Linked DNA regions of Xenopus tropicalis. The protein of the gene in region 3 binds, or shares a complex with, the protein of the main gene of each other region. Links are inferred from orthologs where the notes say so. Each region holds a gene or a part of one and is shown on either strand. Other genes may lie near its edges.

Evidence for each region.
Region 1: the proteins of gpsm2 (region 3) and numa1 are in contact, whole or in part, in a crystal structure (PDB 6HC2), measured with the Homo sapiens proteins. The link is inferred for Xenopus tropicalis from reciprocal best matches to the Homo sapiens genes GPSM2 and NUMA1. Residues at the interface, in NP_001307967.1 of Homo sapiens: Ala28, Leu29, Glu32, Cys35, Lys36, Phe47, Lys59, Thr60, Ser62, Ala63, Ile64, Ser66, Gln67, Asn70, Ala71, Phe73, Asn110, Lys113, Tyr146, His153, Lys157, Pro164, Gln165, Arg203, Gly206, Asn207, Asn210, Tyr213, Leu214, Arg228; in NP_006176.2 of Homo sapiens: Ser1901, Phe1902, Tyr1903, Met1904, Gly1905, Thr1906, Cys1907, Gln1908, Asp1909, Glu1910, Pro1911, Glu1912, Leu1914, Asp1916, Trp1917, Asn1918, Arg1919, Ile1920, Ala1921, Leu1923.
Region 2: the proteins of gpsm2 (region 3) and insc are in contact, whole or in part, in a crystal structure (PDB 3RO3), measured with the Mus musculus proteins. The link is inferred for Xenopus tropicalis from reciprocal best matches to the Homo sapiens genes GPSM2 and INSC. Residues at the interface, in NP_083798.2 of Mus musculus: Asn210, Tyr213, Leu214, Phe218, Arg242, Ser246, Asn247, Asn250, Ile253, Phe254, Tyr265, Gln283, Tyr286, Ser287, Asn290, Thr291, Thr293, Leu294, Arg323, Trp326, Ser327, Asn330; in XP_006507722.1 of Mus musculus: Val72, Asp73, Ser74, Val75, Arg77, Trp78, Met79, Asp81, Leu82, Lys83, Leu84, Met85, Thr86, Glu87.
Region 4: the proteins of gpsm2 (region 3) and frmpd4 are in contact, whole or in part, in a crystal structure (PDB 4WND), measured with the Homo sapiens proteins. The link is inferred for Xenopus tropicalis from reciprocal best matches to the Homo sapiens genes GPSM2 and FRMPD4. Residues at the interface, in NP_001307967.1 of Homo sapiens: Leu25, Ala28, Leu29, Glu32, Asp57, Lys59, Thr60, Ser62, Ala63, Ile64, Ser66, Gln67, Asn70, Phe73, Tyr74, His85, Asp88, Ala92, Gly100, Lys103, Asn107, Asn110, Thr111, Lys113, His128, Arg143, Tyr146, Asn147, Asn150, His153; in NP_055543.2 of Homo sapiens: Gln988, Leu989, Leu990, His991, Ser992, His994, Met995, Glu996, Met997, Glu998, Pro999, Glu1000, Thr1001, Met1002, Glu1003, Thr1004, Lys1005, Ser1006, Val1007, Thr1008, Asp1009, Tyr1010, Phe1011, Ser1012.

What each region holds. Positions count from the first base shown.
Region 1 is NC_030678.2:178,875,934-178,880,394, reverse strand, and holds part of numa1 (nuclear mitotic apparatus protein 1), read right to left. Parts: intron 3,461-4,461; coding exon 3,205-3,460; intron 2,790-3,204; coding exon 2,513-2,789; intron 2,360-2,512; coding exon 2,223-2,359; intron 1,774-2,222; coding exon 1,546-1,773; intron 1,455-1,545; coding exon 1,350-1,454; intron 993-1,349; coding exon 744-992; intron 381-743; coding exon 357-380; intron 1-356. UniProt on the Homo sapiens protein: Microtubule (MT)-binding protein that plays a role in the formation and maintenance of the spindle poles and the alignement and the segregation of chromosomes during mitotic cell division.
Region 2 is NC_030680.2:3,252,196-3,257,316, forward strand, and holds the start of insc (protein inscuteable homolog), read right to left. Parts: upstream 3,304-5,121; 5' UTR 3,008-3,303; intron 1-3,007. UniProt on the Homo sapiens protein: May function as an adapter linking the Par3 complex to the GPSM1/GPSM2 complex. Involved in spindle orientation during mitosis. May regulate cell proliferation and differentiation in the developing nervous system.
Region 3 is NC_030680.2:112,002,082-112,007,211, forward strand, and holds the start of gpsm2 (G-protein-signaling modulator 2), read right to left. Parts: upstream 3,054-5,130; 5' UTR 2,761-3,053; intron 2,126-2,760; exon of another isoform or gene 2,068-2,125; intron 1,563-2,067; exon of another isoform or gene 1,507-1,562; coding exon of another isoform or gene 1,469-1,506; intron 1-1,468. UniProt on the Homo sapiens protein: Plays an important role in mitotic spindle pole organization via its interaction with NUMA1. Required for cortical dynein-dynactin complex recruitment during metaphase. Plays a role in metaphase spindle orientation.
Region 4 is NC_030678.2:106,369,454-106,374,632, forward strand, and holds the start of frmpd4 (FERM and PDZ domain-containing protein 4), read right to left. Parts: upstream 3,510-5,179; 5' UTR 3,150-3,509; coding exon 3,109-3,149; intron 1-3,108. UniProt on the Homo sapiens protein: Positive regulator of dendritic spine morphogenesis and density. Required for the maintenance of excitatory synaptic transmission. Binds phosphatidylinositol 4,5-bisphosphate.

The DNA.
Region 1 (4,461 bases), on a different chromosome or scaffold from region 3:
AGGCTGTACCGCCCCTTATGCAATAACAACACTATTCCTGCTCTGTGATTGGCCCATTGGGAACCCCATGTTTGCTAGCTGTACGTGAAGCTTCCGCTGGCACAATGGGGGTCAGTATTTGAGCAGCAAAGATCCCGGCCGTAATGGCTGCCCCTTCCCAGGTGCTGATGGGACCCGAAACCAGTGCAGGAGAACCCACTAAAAAGGACACCCCAAGAAGCAAAGAGGAGAACAGGAAGGGCAGAAATATCAGGACAGGGAACAAATCCACCCTACAGATGTACGAGACTGCAGGACAGACAGCAATGCACCTGTGCAGCTACCCCTCCCCGGCCACACCCACAGGCAACACCTACCTGTATCTGCAGCTCCTGCCCCACCTGAGAGGGATCAGAGAACATTATTGGTACCTGAAAGCAAATTGTGCCCCACAATACTGCCCTGTGTCATCACATTCAGGGGCAAAGATCAGACAACTGCCGATACACCGCACTGACTGCTTCCCCAGATATTAAAGGGTAACTATACACCTGGCTGACATGATCTCATTCAGTAGGATTATATATCTGTATACCGACGGCTCCATCGACAGGCACAGCATTATGGCCTGTGTGGGGCTACACGGAGAGGATATTGGGCAAAAATACATATTTTTACATTTCCGTGCCAGTATCGACTCAGTGTAGCTCCGCCCAGGCTGAGGAGCACATGACAGCAGATCTACCCCCCATCCCGATACCGACCTTGGTTGAAGCTTTGGGGGACTTTGCAGTGGAGGCCCTCGGAGACCGCCTGCTGGGTGACTTCCGGAGAGAGCGGTGCGGGGATTTGCCTGAAGTGCTGCCGGCGCTGCCACTTGCCCCCCGCCCCCGGGGGCTATTTTTGGGAGTCGTTTTCTTGTTGAGGCCTCTCTTCAGGAGGCTGTTGCCCAGCTTTCTGGGGGTGTTGAAAATGCTAAATGCTGTAGACTGACGGCGAGTGGGCTGCGCCTGCTGAAACGGGAGCAAAAGACTGTGTGAAATTCATATGAACATACCGCTTTATGGCACTGCAGTATTATTGGTACAAACAGTGACAAACCCCTAACTTCATCCGTTGCTGCCCTGATTTCATTGGTTTATAGGGACAGTGGCGCTGCCCTGATTTCATTGGTTTATAGGGACAGTGGCGCTGCCCTGATTTCATTGGTTTATAGGGACAGTGGCGCTGCCCTGATTTCATTGGTTTATAGGGACAGTGGCGCTGCCCTCCATCCCTGGGAACGTGAGAGCAATGGCCTGTCCCCTGGGACTCAGCGCACACAAGATGGTGTATAATGGTTGGTAAATGCATGAGAATTAGCAGCTCACCTGATGGCTGGAGTTTCCTTTGCTTTCCACAGTGGACAATCTGCGTGCGTCGTGTTTATCCTTTGGGGTCATGGGCCGAGGAAAGCAAGTGGCAGACTTCTTGGCCTGTAAGTAATACGGAAAGTTAGTTCTATAGAGCAGCAGAGCCACTAGCCCTTTAGCCCAAGTACAAACATGGAATGGCAAAGCTGCTCACTTCTGGGGTGTCTGGGCCAAGGTGAGACTCCTCGGACACGCGCTTCATCTGCTGCCTGGTGCTGATGCTGGGTCCCCTCATATGTTCAGAGGCAGCCAAGCTCATTCTGCGGGTACTGCCTGTGGACTCTTGTATCTGGGAGGGCAGCATGGTGGCTCTCCTGAGCGTCTCTTTAGGGTCTCCCAACTTGACCTCTTCATCGGTAATGGTGGAGCTTAAGAGTGACGGCTGAAAATGGATTGTGTGTTTTAGTTTAACAATTAACTTGATAAATTGCCCTAAAAACTCTTGCGACACACAGTGCTGATCCAAGCAATCAAGTCTCGCACTCCCATTGGTATTAAAGGTCCCCATACACTGGCAGATCTGCTTCCTTGCCGATCTTCTCCCGATACCCCCACCTACAGGATTTACGACGGGCATAGGTAAAGATTTTCTAGCCTGCCCGATCGAGATCTGGCCGATTTCAGGACAGATATCAGTCGGGCAGGCCCATCGGAAGTGCCCATACACGGGCCGATTAGCTGCCGAATTGGTCTAAGGGACCCATATCGGCAGCTAGAATCGGCCCGTGTATGGGGGGGCCTTAACCCTAGGGATGCTCTACCCCTACCCAAAGACAGCAGCCGTGCAGCTAAAGATATGCCCAGTACTTGTGCAATAGAACAGATACGCACCCTGGACTCCAGTGGGTAGGAAGTCTTGAGGTGGGGTGGGCAGGCCTTGTTCCGGGCCTGCAACTCAGCGATCCGGTTCCAGTCTTCCTGTGGGTCTGGCTCATCCTGGCACGTGCTCATGTAGAAACTGCTTCGGCCTGAAAGGAACAACATGGGGCTGAGGCTGCGGGGTTGTTATCACACACAGGGTGCAGGTATGGGGGAAGCATACAGAGCTGTTGGAGTGAGTTCTGTAAGGGGGCTATAGAGAACAGACTACACATCAGGCACGTAAGGGAACAGGCAACTACCTCCAGTTTGTGAAAGCCTTGCAGATCTACGCGTGGGGGGTCGGTAACCAGGTAAATTCATCAATACGGAGTTATTAAAGCTGTCATCAGAGAACTGTTCTGTCTTGGCCAGGGATTCCTGGGATGGGAGGCTGGCCAGGGCTGGGGCAGAAACCGCTGCCTGAGGACGCCCAGGCCTCCGGGGCTTCTGCTGGTGGAGACTCTGATAGGACGGAGCGGAGCGCAGGCTGTAGAATGACGTGTTGGCACTCTCTGCTTCCGGTTCCTCCTTTGTCTTCTGAAATGAAACCATAATGCAAATTTAATGGACACCCTACTCAAGACATGAATTCTTTCCCAATAACATTAGGAGAAATATCAATGTAAGAACCCTCGGCACTGACCAATATCTCCATCTGGGGGAACACAAGAAGCAGTGACCTGAGCAATGATTGGTTTGAGGTATGGAATCTCCAATATGGCAGCCAGTATGTTTGAAACTAATCCAGTTCTCAGTGAGGGCTGTTCCTAGGGCTCCCAGACCAAATGGAGATGGCTCGGCCCCCAGGATGTGGCATTGGACATAAGCTACAAAGTGCCACTATCTCCCATGCTGACTGTCACCATGGTGACTTCTGGGCCCCACATTGGCAACTGCTCTGCTCCCTGACTCAAAGCCCCCGATTCCCCCCACGCCGACACTTTCTCCTTACCTTGGTCATTGTGATGTTAATGATCTGGGTGGTGCGTCTCCTTGCAGACCGCGTTTTCTTGCTGGAGTCTAGGGACAGGTCCCCAATGGAACCAAGGCTACTTTCCAGTTTGGACTGTGCCCGGGTTGGAATAGGTGTGAAGTAGAGGCTTTCCAGAGACTCCACCTTTTTGGGCAGTTGGCCTGTGGTAGGAGACTCCATGCTGCTGGCATGTACTGACGATGTGGCAGGTTCCTCGTTGCAGCGGCCATTCTTACTGTGATAAATAAAATGCATATATTAGGGTACATTTCTGGTGGGTCAGGGACACACACAGCATTTGTTTTTGAAAATTGATCAGCTTTTCATGTCTAAAATGCATCTCTGCTCAAATGAACTTATGTTCTATCCTTGCTTTAACGGCAGATTTGGGTGTGCAGAAAGATGAGCTATTGCTCCAATGCTTTACTGCCCCCTAGCTGCAAGACTCAGCCAGCCAAGTGTCTTGTACATATTCCTATTTGTTTATTTGGCTACTATATAATGTCAGTATCTGCTGCACTGCATACAAAACAGTACAGACAGGAGGAACCAGCATTACATAAATATAGTCACAATAAATGCCACATTCAGAGAGACATATGAAGCTGTAGCCAGGCCCGGACTGACAAGCTGTGGGTTCTGGCAAATGCCATAAGGGCTGCTGTAAGATGCCAGACACTCACTATTATTGGGCCTCTGTGTACATTAAATGACGGGGCCCATTATGAATCCCAGTCCGGACCTGGCTGCAGGTTTCTGCCCTGTACAGCTTACAATCCGACTGCCTTTATCACATTAGTAAAGTAGCAGTGCTGCAGGTCTCGAGTAATAGAATAATAGGGAGGGAGGACTGCTATTAGCAGTTACACAGGGCCCGAGGGGCCATCCAGGACTACTGGAAAGAAGGCAAAGTAGGGAAGCATAAAGGGTTCCCCAGAAGCTAACACCCCAGGGTGTGCTCGGAGCAGAAGCTACATCTGAAGGGACCGGGTGCATCACTAGATGGTGTAAATTTTAATGAATAAGATTTACTTTCACGCTGGCACATATCTCCCTGTTTCTCTTAGTCAAGGAATAAGCAATCTTCCTTAGCAAAGAGTTAGCGCAGGACTGAACCAAACTGAAAGTAATGCCCTGGGGCAGAACATCTCAGCTGGCACATTTATCTGCTCACACACAGGAGTTCCTTTAAGCGAATGGAGAGACGGGAGAAGTGAAAGCTACCCATGGGTACAA
Region 2 (5,121 bases), about 110 Mb from region 3:
ATACTGTATAGTGGGCCCGTTATAGTGTATATATACTGTATAGTGGGCCCGTTATAGTGTATATACTGTATAGTGGGCCCGTTATAGTGTATATATACTGTATAGTGGGCCCGTTATAGTGTATATATACTGTATAGTGGGCCCGTTATAGTGTATATACTGTATAGTGGGCCCGTTATAGTGTATATATACTGTATAGTGGGCCCGTTATAGTGTATATATACTGTATAGTGGGCCCGTTATAGTGTATATACTGTATAGTGTGCCCGTTATAGTGTATATATACTGTTTAGTGGGCCCGTTATAGTGTATATACTGTATAGTGGGCCCGTTATAGTGTGTATATACTGTATAGTGAGTGGTTCCCTAGCTTACTATAGGCACCATAGCAGCCCATGAGAAAGAAGATGGGGGGCTACTGGTGGCATTTTCAGCAGCACAGCTGTACTTTGGGGCTGGAACAGAAGCCTAAAACATAATGTGCAGCATTCCTTTGTTAAGTTTTAGGTTCCCTTTAGTCGCGTAAAGAACATGTTATTATGGGCAAAACCGCAGCTTCTTTCCCAGAAACATTTAAAACACTGATGTCTCTACCAACATATTTTAGAAGTGAAACACTTGACCTGAAATGGCTTTTATAGGAAATAGAAACAAGTTTCTGTATATATACTGTATATATACATATTGTATTACCCACCTACTGACTGTAATCACTCATATAATGTTTCTGTAGGGAAATGAGAGCAGGGCAGGCAGTAACCCTTCCAACACTTTCCCCTGTCTCTGCCCCTATATATTAGGTACCTACCTAGTGCTACCAACCCCTATTTCTGTAGGGAAATGAGAGCAGGGCAGGCAGTAACCCTTCCAACACTTTCCCCTGTCTCTGCCCCTATATATTAGGTACCTACCTAGTGCTACCAACCCCTATTTCTGTAGGGAAATGAGAGCAGGGCAGGCAGTAACCCTTCCAACACTTTCCCCTGTCTCTGCCCCTATATATTAGGTACCTACCTAGTGCTACCAACCCCTATTTCTGTAGGGAAATGAGAGCAGGGCAGGCAGTAACCCTTCCAACACTTTCCCCTGTCTCTGCCCCTATATATTAGGTACCTACCTAGTGCTACCAACCCCTATTTCTGTAGGGAAATGAGAGCAGAGCAGGCAGTAACCCTTCCAACACTTTCCCCTGTCTCTGCCCCTATATATTAGGTACCTACCTAGTGCTACCAACCCCTATTTCTGTAGGGAAATGAGAGCAGGGCAGGCAGTAACCCTTCCAACACTTTCCCCTGTCTCTGCCCCTATATATTAGGTACCTACCTAGTGCTACCAACCCCTATTTCTGTAGGGAAATGAGAGCAGGGCAGGCAGTAACCCTTCCAACACTTTCCCCTGTCTCTGCCCCTATATATTAGGTACCTACCTAGTGCTACCAACCCCTATTTCTGTAGGGAAATGAGAGCAGGGCAGGCAGTAACCCTTCCAACACTTTCCCCTGTCTCTGCCCCTATATATTAGGTACCTACCTAGTGCTGCCACTCTGTGTTTTTCTACAAAGCAGTTTTAGGGAATGAAATTGTTCATAATAATTCTAATAACATTTCTTTAAACCTCAAGTGCATTTTGTATCAGAAAAAACCTCATCTCAGTGTCACACACGTCCCGTCTGACCCAAACCGACCAATAAACGGCGCAATTACTCTCACAATTTTTTTTAAAAGGCAGAGCTCGGTGAGTAATGGGGGTCGATCCCCCCGCCTCCAATCCAGTTAGTGAATGTGCAGGGATTGACTATTACAGGGCTTGTTTACCTTTGAGTTAACTCTTAGAATGATATAAAGAGTAATATACTGAGACAAATTGCAATTGGTCTTCATTTTTTTTATTAATTGTAGTTTTTTTAATTATTTCACTTTTTGTTCGGCAGCTTTCCAGTTTGGTATTTCAGCAGCTATCTGGTTGCTAGTGTCCAAATTACCTTAGCAACCAGGGAGCAGTTTGAATGAGACATAGGAATATGAATAGGAGAGGGGCTGAATAGAAAGATAAGGAATAAAAAGTAACAATAACAATAAAACTGGAGCCTCACAGAGCAATAGGGTTTGGCTGCCGGGGTCAGTGACCCCCATTTGAAAGCTACAATGAGTGAGCAGAAGGCTGACTTATTATTTTTTTATTTACTTAAATAATAAAAAAAAAAAACATACAAAAATAATTAATGAAGACCAATTGAAAAGTTGCTAATTCTATTACATACTAAAAGTTTACTGAAAGAGGTGGTTCCCCTTCAAATTAACTTTGAGTATGTTATAGAATTAGCAACTTTTCAATTGGTCTTCATTATCTTTGCAGCTTTCAAATGCTTTCTATTGCTCTGTGAGGCTCCAGTTTTATTGTTATTGTTACTTTTTATTCCTTATCTTTCTATTCAGCCCCTCCCCTATTCATATTCCTGTGTCTCATTCAAACCACTCTGTGGTTGCTAAGGTAATTGGAGCCCTAGCAACAGGATAACTGACCCCGGCAGCCAAACCCTATTGCTCTGTGAGGCTCCAGTTTTATTATTATTGTTACTTTTTATTCCTTATCTTTCTATTCAGCTCCTCCCCTATTCATATTCCTGTGTCTCATTCAAATCACTCTGTGGTTGCTAAGGTAATTGGAGCCCTAGCAACAGGATAACTGACCCCGGCAGCCAAACCCTATTGCTCTGTGAGGCTCCAGTTTTATTGTTACTGTTACTTTTTATTCCTTATATTTCTATCCAGTCCCTCCCCTATTCATATCCTAATGTCTCACTCGCACCCCTGCTTGGTTGCTAGGATTGTTCGGACCCTAGCAACCCCACAGCTGCTGAAACGCCAAAGCGAAATAACCCAAATAAAGAAAAAATGAAGACCAATTGCAAAGTGTCTCAGAATATCTCTAAATAAACACCATTTGTGCTTCCCAGACCCCCCCCCCCCCGACGCTTTAGTTCATCTGCTATGAGATTTGTACTTACGTAGAGTTACAGGGGGGCCCCCAAATCCTCAGCCGGAGCTGCTCCTCCGCTTCCCTCGCTGCTCGGCCGGGATAACAAAAAGCCCCTTTTGTAACATTTACTCCCCAGTCGCAGCCGCTCTGCCCATCAAAAAAACCTCTGGCGCATAGTTTGGCTGACAGTTGGGCTCGGGCCCCCGGCCAATAACAGCCACTCGGTTGGTTCTATTTCTGTCCGGCCCTCGCACAGAAGCAGACTGGCGGCGGGGGCCCCTAACGAGCGCCCGTTGGTCGGGCTTTGAGGAGTGAAATTAGAGACCAACGGGGGGGGGGGGGGAAAAGGCCAAGTAAAATAATAATAATTCAGCAATTTTGTGCCGGGAGGGGGGGGGAACACTTTGCACCATGGGATAGGCTGGAAGAGTCTAACAACCCCCGGGGCAGGAGATATGGAACCTACAGAGCCCAGGGCAGGTGTTTCCCATAGAAATTCCAGCTCTTTGCCGGGCGGAACATTCCATAAAACTTTCCTGTCTTGAAATTCTGCCCCCCCCCCCCAAGGGGTTATTTTCCTTTCAGGGAGGTGCAATCCTGCGGCTTTTCCCTATAAACACTCCCAGAGCCTTGGAGACACATTCCAGCCTGTAAAACTCCAGCTGATGTTCATTCCTTCCTCATGTCCCCGGGAGTTGTCTGTTAGAAGTCATGAGTGAGAACTGACAGTGCACAGATTGCAATTGGTCTTCATGGGAAATGTCTATTAGAAGTCATGAGTGAGAACTGACAGTGCGCAGATTGCAATTGGTCTGCATGGGAAATGTCTATTAGAAGTCATGAGTGAGAACTGACAGTGCACAGATTGCAATTGGTCTTCATGGGAAATGTCTATTAGAAGTCATGAGTGAGAACTGACAGTGCACAGATTGCAATTGGTCTTCATGGGAAATGTCTATTAGAAGTCATGAGTGAGAACTGACAGTGCGCAGATTGCAATTGGTCTGCATGGGAAATGTCTATTAGAAGTCATGAGTGAGAACTGGCAGTGCGCAGATTGCAATTGGTCTTCATGGGAAATGTCTATTAGAAGTCATGAGTGAGAACTGACAGTGCACTGACTGCAATTGGTCTGCATGGGAAATGTCTATTAGAAGTCATGAGTGAGAACTGACAGTGCACAGATTGCAATTGGTCTTCATGGGAAATGTCTATTAGAAGTCATGAGTGAGAACTGACAGTGCACAGATTGCAATTGGTCTTCATGGGAAATGTCTATTAGAAGTCATGAGTGAGAACTGACAGTGCACTGACTGCAATTGGTCTGCATGGGAAATGTCTATTAGAAGTCATGAGTGAGAACTGACAGTGCACAGATTGCAATTGGTCTTCATGGGAAATGTCTATTAGAAGTCATGAGTGAGAACTGACAGTGCGCAGATTGCAATTGGTCTTCATGGGAAATGTCTATTAGAAGTCATGAGTGAGAACTGACAGTGCACTGACTGCAATTGGTCTGCATGGGAAATGTCTATTAGAAGTCATGAGTGAGAACTGACAGTGCACAGATTGCAATTGGTCTTCATGGGAAATGTCTATTAGAAGTCATGAGTGAGAACTGACAGTGCACAGATTGCAATTGGTCTTCATGGGAAATGTCTATTAGAAGTCATGAGCGAGAACTGACAGATTGCAATTGGTCTTCATGGGAAATGTCTATTAGAAGTCATGAGTGAGAACTGACAGTGCACAGATTGCAATTGGTCTTCATGGGAAATGTCTATTAGAAGTTATGAGTGAGAAGTGACAGTGCACAGATTGCAATTGGTCTTCATGGGAAATGTCTATTAGAAGTCATGAGTGAGAACTGACAGTGCGCAGATTGCAATTGGTCTGCATGGGAAATGTCTATTAGAAGTTATGAGTGAGAACTGACAGTGCGCAGATTGCAATTGGTCTTCATGGGAAATGTCTATTAGAAGTCATGAGTGAGAACTGACAGTGCACAGATTGCAATTGGTCTGCATGGGAAATGTCTATTAGAAGTCATGAGTGAGAACTGGCAGTGCGCAGATTGCAATTGGTCTGCATGGGAAATGTCTATTAGAAGTCATGAGTGAGAACTGACAGTGCACAGATTGC
Region 3 (5,130 bases):
ATGAAACTGAAAAAAAAAGTTAGGAAAGTGAACTACCCCTTTAAAGCCAATTTAATGTTTCAGGTTTACTAAATATATAATGTATAGGGAGTGCAAAAGCGAGCTGAGTAAAGGGCCTTTAATAGCTCCCAGACTCAGGGGTACAGTGACAAGTTTATGTTCATGTACTAGACAAAGATAGAAAGGTTAAAAAAAAAAAAAAAAAAAAAAAGGAAACCAGGATGTAGCTTTATTATGGATATCAAGAGAATTTAACTTTTGCATAAGAAGAAAAGGGTCTATTCTTTATCAAATGCAGATAGTAAATTGAGGAAGGTAAGAACAAAGAAGTGTCCTTTGGACCTAGAAAATGTTTGCAGCCAGATGTGTAAATTTTATATAATGCACATCAATGCCTGCCACAAGAGAAAACATTTTTACAGAAGCCAATATGAATGCACACTTCTGTAAATACACAGTCTGCAGGTCAGTCCCACCATGCCCTATATTTGCAGGAAAGATCGTAATTGGTATGTGTATGGCCACCTTAATACCCCCTGGGGAGAACTATGAGGAACTTAGAAACCAGCTAAAAAAGGGAGGACAGAAAGAAATTAGAGACAACTTATTGTGTAAAGAAGCATAAGGATATAATTACGAGTTCAGTCAGGGGAAAGTAGTTCTGAGTTATAGGTAATATTATTGTTATAGAATTAGTAAACCTATTTTTTTTTCTAGAGTTTTGTATGGAGTCTTTTTAGGGGCTTTTGTGATAAAGGCTTACTTATCAGTTAAAGGCATTGACAAGACTGATACTTGACAATCCATTTCAGAGAAGACTTGAAGAAAGAGATGACGCAGTCTTCACAAAAACAAAGTTCTCTTTTTCCAGTACAAACATACCCTTAAGCATGGTGGTTAGAATACCTAAAGCTATATAAAGACCTTGGTAAATCCATGTATTCAAGTTTAAAAAGAAAATCAAGTGAAGCCTGGATTGTAAATTTAGAAAAAGGCTAGCAAACATTTGATTTTTATTGCTAAACTGAAGCAAACTTTGTCCATAACCCTAGCTACTAAATCCTATATCCAAGGCTTGTGTGGTGGCCATGTCAAAATCTGCCCCAAACGATAATGAAATGTATTTCCGAGAGCAGGAAAAACCTGTTCTTATTAGAAAAAAAAAATCTGTCATAAAGTTTATTCATAGTAGTACGGTAGGAAAGATTAGGTCAAACTTCCTGCTTGCATAGTCTCACCAACATTCACATATTATATATTACTAAAACATTTCAATCTACTAAATACAAATGTATCATATTTGTCCAAGTTATTCAAAGGAGTTAAAGTTCTTTCGTTCACCAGGTTATTAATTAGCGTAGGATTAGATTCTGAATTCACAGTTTATGTCACACAAGTAACTTGTGCCCACTTTCTGAACCATAAAATCATCTGTTCAAGAGAGGCACAGCAAATGCACTGGTCTTACCTGTTAGAGACTGTGACAGAGGAGAGGCAGGCACTCATCAGGATCTCAATGCTGACTGACAGAGGAATAAAGCTGCTGGGATGTTAAATACAGCCAGACAATGCAGCTATGGGTTAAGGTGTTACAATTTGTATTGCCCCCCCATAGTACAAACAGCCGTTTGTTTTTTCCTACCAGTGACTTTTGCTGCTGGGAAAATATAGCTGGCTAGACAAGCCAGTTGACAGTCCCATGTGGCCATTTGTCACATTTGAGCCAAATTTTGGTTTCAGTTCATTTGTTGAACACAAGCTACCAGTGTGACATGGCTATAAATTGCTCTGAGCTAAACTAGACACCACTGTATTGGGTTCATCAACCATTTCTCAGTTCATTTTAATGGACGTTAACGACTTTGGAAACAAGGATGCTCTGGTCAACCAGCAAAAATCGAACAAAAACAAAGAGTGTACATAGATCCGAAAGGCAGCAAGAATAGTGGGACAAGACAATAAGGTCCGAGTTCTTTCAAAGAATGATTTGCAATGCCATATTATACTCATAACTGCAGAGTATTGTGCGATATATTTTACTAACACAATCACCAATAAAGTAAATACCTTTTGGGGCTGCCTTGGTTTTACAGCTTTCCTGGTTACAGGGTGCAGAAAAGCCGCACTGAAGAAAAACAAAGAAACAAAGTTATGGTTTGTAACCATGCCCCAATAAGGTAAACTACAACATTTACCCCTGTATAATATTATGTTCAAGGGATGATGAGAAGTCTGAAGTAAATGCTTACATTAAACATTTAGCTTGAATCAGCAGGGTGAAGCCAAGCCCCACACCTATGTGTATAGATAGGCTGCTGCACCCAGCTATGATGATGATGACTATGAACAGAAAGTGACTCAGGAGACATTCAGGTTCAGACTTAATGAGGATGCAGATATCATCATTTTGTAATGTCAGTACAACAAGTGAATCCCAAAAATGCATCTTGCTGGAGCAGCTGTATCCCCTGGCAACAGGATCACACAGCAAGTACTGGCTCCCTCATTCACTCTCAGTGACTCCTACAAGTCATGAGGTACGATCCAGTTCAACTGTAATATATATGGGCAAACTGGGTGATGCTGGGTCTTACACACATGCAAGAGAATGCAGGGCATACAATTCCCATCACAACTGTACATGTAGCAGAGAGTAGAGGCAACACGTCCCCACTGGCTACAATAGGAAGCTACTAAGTAGCTCAATAGGAAGCATGAGTGTCCCATCGCATTCAGCACAGACCGCTGTGAGGGACTAACCTCGGCTCCAGGTGTATCTGAGCTGTAGCCCCGGGAATCTCGCTGCGTGACTCCGTTCCAAGGACGAGGCTGAAGGAACTAATGACACAGAGAGCTGCAGATCGTCCCAGTTATATTACGGCTCCCAGCATACCCAGCCAGCCTGCATGCCGCACAATAATCCGGGGACACTTCCGATTTTCTTAACAGAGCCAGTAGCCCACAATCCCGGGTCGCTGTTTAAAAGTCCCGCAGAGCCGTTAACATGTAGCTCCCTGACTCCTCCCGTACAGCTCCTCCCCTCCCGTATAGCTCCTCCCCACACTCAGGTCTCATCTCGCGAGAGCGTGACGTCACACCACAAGTATAGTATACCAGCGGCGCGCAAGGCTAGGAGAGTAGCGTTGTGTAGGCCGGGAGAGGAGCGTTGTGTAGGCCGGGAGAGGAGCGTTGTGTAGGCCGGGAGAGGAGCGTTGTGTAGGCCGGGAGAGGAGCGTTGTGTAGGCTGTGCTGGTTGCAGTAGGCTTTGGGCGTCCGGTCACAATCTTTTATTTTCTGTGCAGCTTATGCTTTTGCTAGGAAGTAACGAGACTGTGTGTTTTGTGTTGGTTGCTAGCTGTGGCCGCTGCCACTAGAATCTCATTGCCCAATGCTAGCCCGCATACTGACCCCGCTGTTTGTTCGCTCCCACTTGTTTCACCGTCAGAGATTGCCTTTTTCGTTTTCGCAGCTTTTCTAGTGCCGGGGAAGGAGAATAAAACAATTTATTTTCTTGGTAGTTTACAGCAATTCCCGCTTTCACAATAGACTCTGCTTTTGGTGTTTCAACTTCTGCCAAAAAATAAAGACGTGTCCTTGTTGCCAACGCAACCTGTTTCCGTGCGAGTCTGAGCTTCCAATTTGACCAAAAAAGTAAAAGCGATTTCGTGCAAACTGGGGCTGGGAGAAATGAAATCACATTTAGTATATTTGTACTTTGAGGTACTTGATTTTTGTGCATACAAGGGTCAGGTTTTTCACTTAGATTGTAAGTTCTACGGGGCAGGGACCTCCATCCGCTTGTCTCTTTGAATCTTCTGTACCTTGTATTTATCTATTATTATTTTAAAAACCCCGTTTGTTTTATTAATTTATTGTTCTACTGTACAGCACTGAGTACATAAGTAGCACTATATAAATATATATATACATACACTGTTGAGAGAGGAAAGGATGGCTGATTTAGGAGAAAAGAGAATGTGAAATGACCTACTCGTCGTTTTTCACGTTTCGCTAATAATTGTAGCCAGTGGGATGGCATTTCGGGGAGATTAGTCGCCCGCGACAAGGGAGATTTGTAGCAGCGACTAATCTCCCCGTCTGTCACAGCCCTTATAAGTAGTCTACAAGTTTTCATGGGTATCAAATAATAAACAAAGCCCGACAAACAGGTCATTGGGTTTAAAACTAGCGGTAAGGAGAGTTCATCTGAGAAGAAGTGCGTAACTTGTCGCCAGAATCTCTGGATGGCCGGACAGTACCATACTAGTCGGTGTCAGGGTTATTGCAGAAAAGGCATCTGATGTTCAGACTGACCCATTAAATGCAGTTTCTTGGGTGTTGGATAGGTTTGATGTATAATTTTTATTTGGATTAGCCTATCACTAGAATTTATCAGTGGGAAATAGAGGTTCTCTTCCACAGAGTCGGACTGGGCCGGGGGGAACCAGGAAGAAACCTGCCAACCCAGACCTGATCCCTGTCGGCATTCTCCCACTGATCTCCCTCCCCTGATCATGTTGAAGTTAAGTATAATGCGGGGGAGAGGGGGTTGGGTGGGCATAAGGGGCCCCTGGGGTGTGTGCACCCAGTGGGCCATGCACCTCCCAGTCCAACCCTGCTTTCCCACCTCCCCCCAGTCATCCAGGTCTGAGTGGAGACCGCTCGCCTTGTTATAGGGTCAGAACTCAATGCATTTATAGATGAAGTGATCAGCTCCCTTATTTTTAGAGTATTAAGTTTTTCTTAATACTCTAAAGTGCTTTTTTTTTTTTGCAAACACTGCCACAGCAGTAACAATCTCTTCTTTGTAAATGGATTGTCTTTTAATTATTATTAACATTTATTTATAAAGTGCCAACATATTCCGCAGCGCTGTACAATAAGTGGGTTTTATACATTGGACATACAGAGTAACATATAAAGCAACCAATACTTCTGATACTGCCTCCCTGCCCCATCTACTTATCACAAACAATAAGTTAAGGCTCTAGAAATCTGATTTAAAATTGTGTGTGTAATAAAAACCAGTTGCTCATATAACCTCTGCAAAGTCTCCCCTGTCTGAACTTCAGCCCTAGCTGTGGCTCTGAATACACTTCCCAGCTGACGTCAGCTCTCAAATCTCGCACA
Region 4 (5,179 bases), on a different chromosome or scaffold from region 3:
ACTCACATAGAAGATACCCCAGACATGTGGGTTTCTTCAGTGAAAAGGAGCTCCAGTGTTGGGTCCAAAGTTAGTGATTTTAGGTACTGGGACGTGCCTAAAAAATTGACACCCCACTCCCACTCCATATGACTTCCCTTGCTCTTTAATATGTCATGAACATTGCTCCAAAAATAAATGTTTCCCTTTCTCAGACACTGCCACTTGTAGGATTCCAGAACTAATTCTACCTTTGAAATTCACATGAGCCTCACTGTAGAATTCAGATGACTTATTTTAACACCCTAACCCTCTCCATGTAAATGTGCTTTGCCTGCATTTAACTCTGATTCCTACAACTGATCTGTCATAACTACAAGAAGATGTAATTAAATTAGCCTTCCCTGAGAAACAATTCAATGCTAATGTACTACTTCCAAGCAATAACTTATTTAGGGGGTAATATAATAACATGCACAAACTTTGCTTTAGGTCTAGTGACTCATAACAGCCAGGCATTAGCTTTCAAAGAGTAGATCAGTAAAAGCTGCCTATTAATTAGTTGTTATTGGTTACTATAACTGAACAAACATTGCGCCCGATATAACATGAAATTTCATAAACACTTCATTTATGTTATGGATGTTGACTTAACCTTAAGGCTAGTACAGCGTTCTCAACCTGTGGGTTGGGACTCCTTCGGGGGTCGACCCTTTCACAAGGGTCACCTAAGACCATCAGAAAACACATATTTCCGATGGTCTTGGGAATAATTTTATGGTTGGGGGTCACCACAACATGAGGAACTGTATTAAAGGGTCACGGCATTAGGAAGGTTGAGAACCACTGGGCTAGTAGGATGAAATGCTGTATGATAGCTTTCCTTGAGCCTTTGGCAAACCTTATTTTAGTCAGTCGTGCCACTTAGGCCAATACAATTGTAGATCTGATTATAGTTTTCTAATAATTTCCAAAACATTCGGTCAAGGCTGCTGAATTTTCCTGTAAACATAAAACCAGTTTGATTCCTTGCCTTGGTTCTTGTAAAATGGCAAATGGTAACTGGGCACAAAAGTTAATGACAGGCCACAGATTCTTGATCACAATTATCCTGATCCTTAACCACTGTGGGGAAACAAAGCAGGGCACAAAGCAAACCATTACATGTGAAGCACTACTACATAGATGTTGTGATCAAAGCTAAATCCTTTAGGAGGATTATCGACATAGAAATCAGGAAAATCCTGCAACTAAAGCACTTTTGTTTTCCACATTTCAGAAAAAACATTGCTAAAGCTGCTGATTTCTTGATGACAGATCACACGGGGTCTTAACAGCAAAGCAGGTTCAGCTTTATTGTTTCAATTTATTTTAAAAATGCCATCTAATTAAGACAATGTGATTTGACATGCCAGTAATAGAATGCAGCACTTATCTCTCATAAATGTAAATACACAGTCAGTTTTCTAATAGAGAACAAAACACAAAATGTTTCAAACTCACTGCATGGCCTTTGCTGTACCTTAGTAACTGCTCTTCGACACAATACACTGAAACCTACAAGATAACATACACTCAAATGAGACCCTGTCTGGTGCCTATTGAAGCAAAAGTGGTACCAGCTTGGCAAAGGACTATGCCACATACTGACAGAAACACATACAGTGCCTATAAAGACTTTAAAATTATTCAAATACAATACTTGGAGAACTTAGTCACAGATTTAATGGCTTTATGAAGCTTAATAGATTTTTTTAATGAAGTGGGTGAATAGTGGGAATCATTTGCAAACAAAGGGTTTGTTGGCTCTAGTGCAGGAACACTTATGCACAAATAACATTTGTGCTGTCTTTGTTTTTCCTACAGCTGTCTGAGAAAAGCAAATCACTGATTGCTATAGGTTGCTGCCCAGATGATAATTTGCCCAGCCTTAGCAGGGCTATGAATGTCCAGGTGAATTAATTCTTCAATCTCTCAGCATATGCAGACATACTTAAGGTATTTGAACAAATGTATCCATGGTGATAGTGGAAATCAAGGGTGCCCAGACTTACTGATATGGGGTCTAATTGTAGTGAAGTTATTACATGGTCTACCACCTCCTATGTTACGCTGCTATGATAAATGTTACTTTTTGTATTATAGTCCTGGAAAATAGAAAGCATTGTATTTAAACAAAATGCACCCATTTCTAAATCAATTGTTTTACAAATCTGAATAATGGGAAGTATACAGAAGGGTCTGTAGACACTGCTAGCTCACGTGATCTAGTGGTTACCAGCTCCAGATCTACAGCTGACTCCCTATTTGGACACCCCTAACCAGAGGGTGCCTTTACATAAAAAATGTTTTGTTGTGAATCAGTAAAAAAAATAAGGAAAATGCCTTTTTTGGCAACCAGAACACAAATACCTGTCCCTGTTTCCAGACAGGATGGGTGCAATAAAGTTATCTGTGTAGTACAACACTAACATCACTTCTGCATGAATGGGTTGCTGGCAAACATTTTTTAATAAAAATAAAGTATTGCTCACTGCTCAATCCAGTATTTTAACTCCATTATATATACTTAGATGCACTAAAACAAAAGAAATACTCTACAACAGTTATTAAGAATTATTGCAGCAAATTAGAAAATATAATTAGAAATATAATTGTATACATATATATATATACACACAAGTGTGGACAGATAACTATATCCAGTTATGCACCCATTTTAGAATCTATATTGCTATGCAACCAGTGGTCCAGTGGTAAAGGTGAAACACATTCATGAAATACATGAAACAGGATTTTCAGACACTATGGAACTGGTTTTTAGCAAGAAGCAGCTTTTCTAATTAGAGATAACGGTGCACTGTGCAGCTTCCATTACTCTACCTATGCCCCGGCATATCAAACAATCTGTAGCTTCTGTGGCAGTATTCTCAGATGATTGCAATAGTTCAGACAGGCTATACAAAACACAGACCACCAGTGAACAGTGCTGTCTAGCAGGACCCTCTGCCAATATTTTCCCTGCAGATTGCATACCTTATTCACCCCCTCCCCCTCCTGGTTTTAAAGAGGTACAGTGGTACTGGACACACATGCTCCCCGTTCATAGCCTGTAAGTGCAAAACTTACCTGGACAGCTTTGCTATCTTTCCAAACCCAAACACGTCCATGCATGCAGCTCCGCTTGCTTTGTTTCTTCATTCACAGAGCAACCTGATGTTATCACTGGTTTAAGTAAATATAGGCTTTCTACATCAGAATGCAGCACAATATCATCCCAGTTCTGCAGTTTGGGAATGAATCACTGATAAGAAGCATCGCTGTATTTCTTTATCCAGCCAAAATGAATTTTAAAGATGCAGTTCAACGACAGCTATTCTTCTATCACCCTACCGCACACTCACTTTAATACATGCTATTTTATGTTGCTTTGATTGTCTCCCTGTAGCTCCTGTAAGCATATTTGCTCAGATTTCTTCATTGAAGACTGCTGATCCCAGCCAGTGAAAGAGAAACAAGGAGGGGGGAGGTGGCAGGAACAGGCTGTGTGCAAGCAGTGAAGCAGCATACAGAAAGAAGGAAAGCTTTAGATACGCAGTAAATCACCTCTTCCTCTGCATAATGCTCATACTATTGCCTTCTGCGCCTCAAATCTTTTCATATCATTCAACAGCTGCTGGGGAACATACCTGCTGATAAATTTACAAGCCATACTGGCGTATATGGGAATTAAAAGCTTTCCTTCATTGGTGGTCTTACATTAAACATTATTGAATTATGCAATCAAAAGAATGGCTGGTAAATCCTTAGAACAAAATATTTTGAGAAGTCCTACGGTTTCACTAAAAGTACCTACAATGTCTCATTTAAATTGATAACATATTTTATGTATAATTCCCCTTTCATTTTAAATAGGCAAACCTTCCATGGACAGAATATATACAGTTTATTGTTAAGACAATACAAAAAATAGGCTTATTTATTTCTATAATGCCTTACTGTATATTGTTGCTTCCCAGGCTCCAGAATGCAAGCTATGTGGCAAAAATACTTATTGTGCCTCATTAACTGTATACCGTTCATCTCTTGCAATTGGACCCATGCATTAATGCCATGAAAGAACACAATAGCAATATTAAATTTTCAGTTTAATTAAATCATTTGTCTCCAAGAATTTGGAGCATATTTATCGATATTCAAATTTGACTTTGTACCGCATTTCAAGTTTTTTGTGGCAAAAATTTTAAATGTAAATATGAGTTTTCAAAACTATAATTTGAGATTTATTATAAGTGCAAAAAAGTGGAATATTAACAGTTCTTGTAAAAGTCAATGGGAGTTTATATGAATTTGAAATTTGGAAACATTGAAAATGTTAGTTTCTTTCCTGTTTCTCCATGATCAAGTTTTTGAAATTCAAGTTTAATTTAATAAATTAGCACACATTCAAGATTTTCTAGTTTGAATTTTTTTTCAATTTATAAAAAAAAGAAAACCACAAAAATACAATTTGTGATAAATCAACCTCTAAGGAGCAGATTTATCAAAATTTGAGTTTGGTGCTTAATGCTTAAAAAATAACCCACATTCTGTTAGAATTAGAATCCGATTATTAGAAGTGTATTTATCAATGGGTGAAAGTTAGAATTCACCATTTGACAAATACGCTTCTAAAAATCCCATAGGAATGAATAGAATGTGGGTGAGGTTTATTTATTAAGCTCTAAACTCACAATTTGATAAATCTGCCCCTTATACAAACTCAGTTTGTATAAATTCTGCTTTGTTTCTATTCAGAGCACTTAAAGTGATACTGACACTAAAAAATTACTTTTCAAAATATTAATTTACATTAAAAGTTGCCTATAGGTACACAACCTATAGGCAACTTTTAATGTAAATTAATATTTTGAAAAGTAATTTTTTAGTGTCAGTATCACTGCCATACTGGCAAAAGAATCCTATTGGCTTTATTTAATGTTTAAATGTTTTTTTTTACCAGACAAAATATGGTGATCGAAATTATGGAAAGATCCCTTATCCAGAAAATCCCAGGTCCCAAGCATTCTGGAAAATGAATCCTGTACCTGTACTACAGTATTTCCTATTTGAATTCTCTGCCAGTTTTGACAAAACAAAGCGTATTTATAGTTTTAGTCAAAACCAGAAATAGGATATTTTTGGTGAAATGAAATAGATC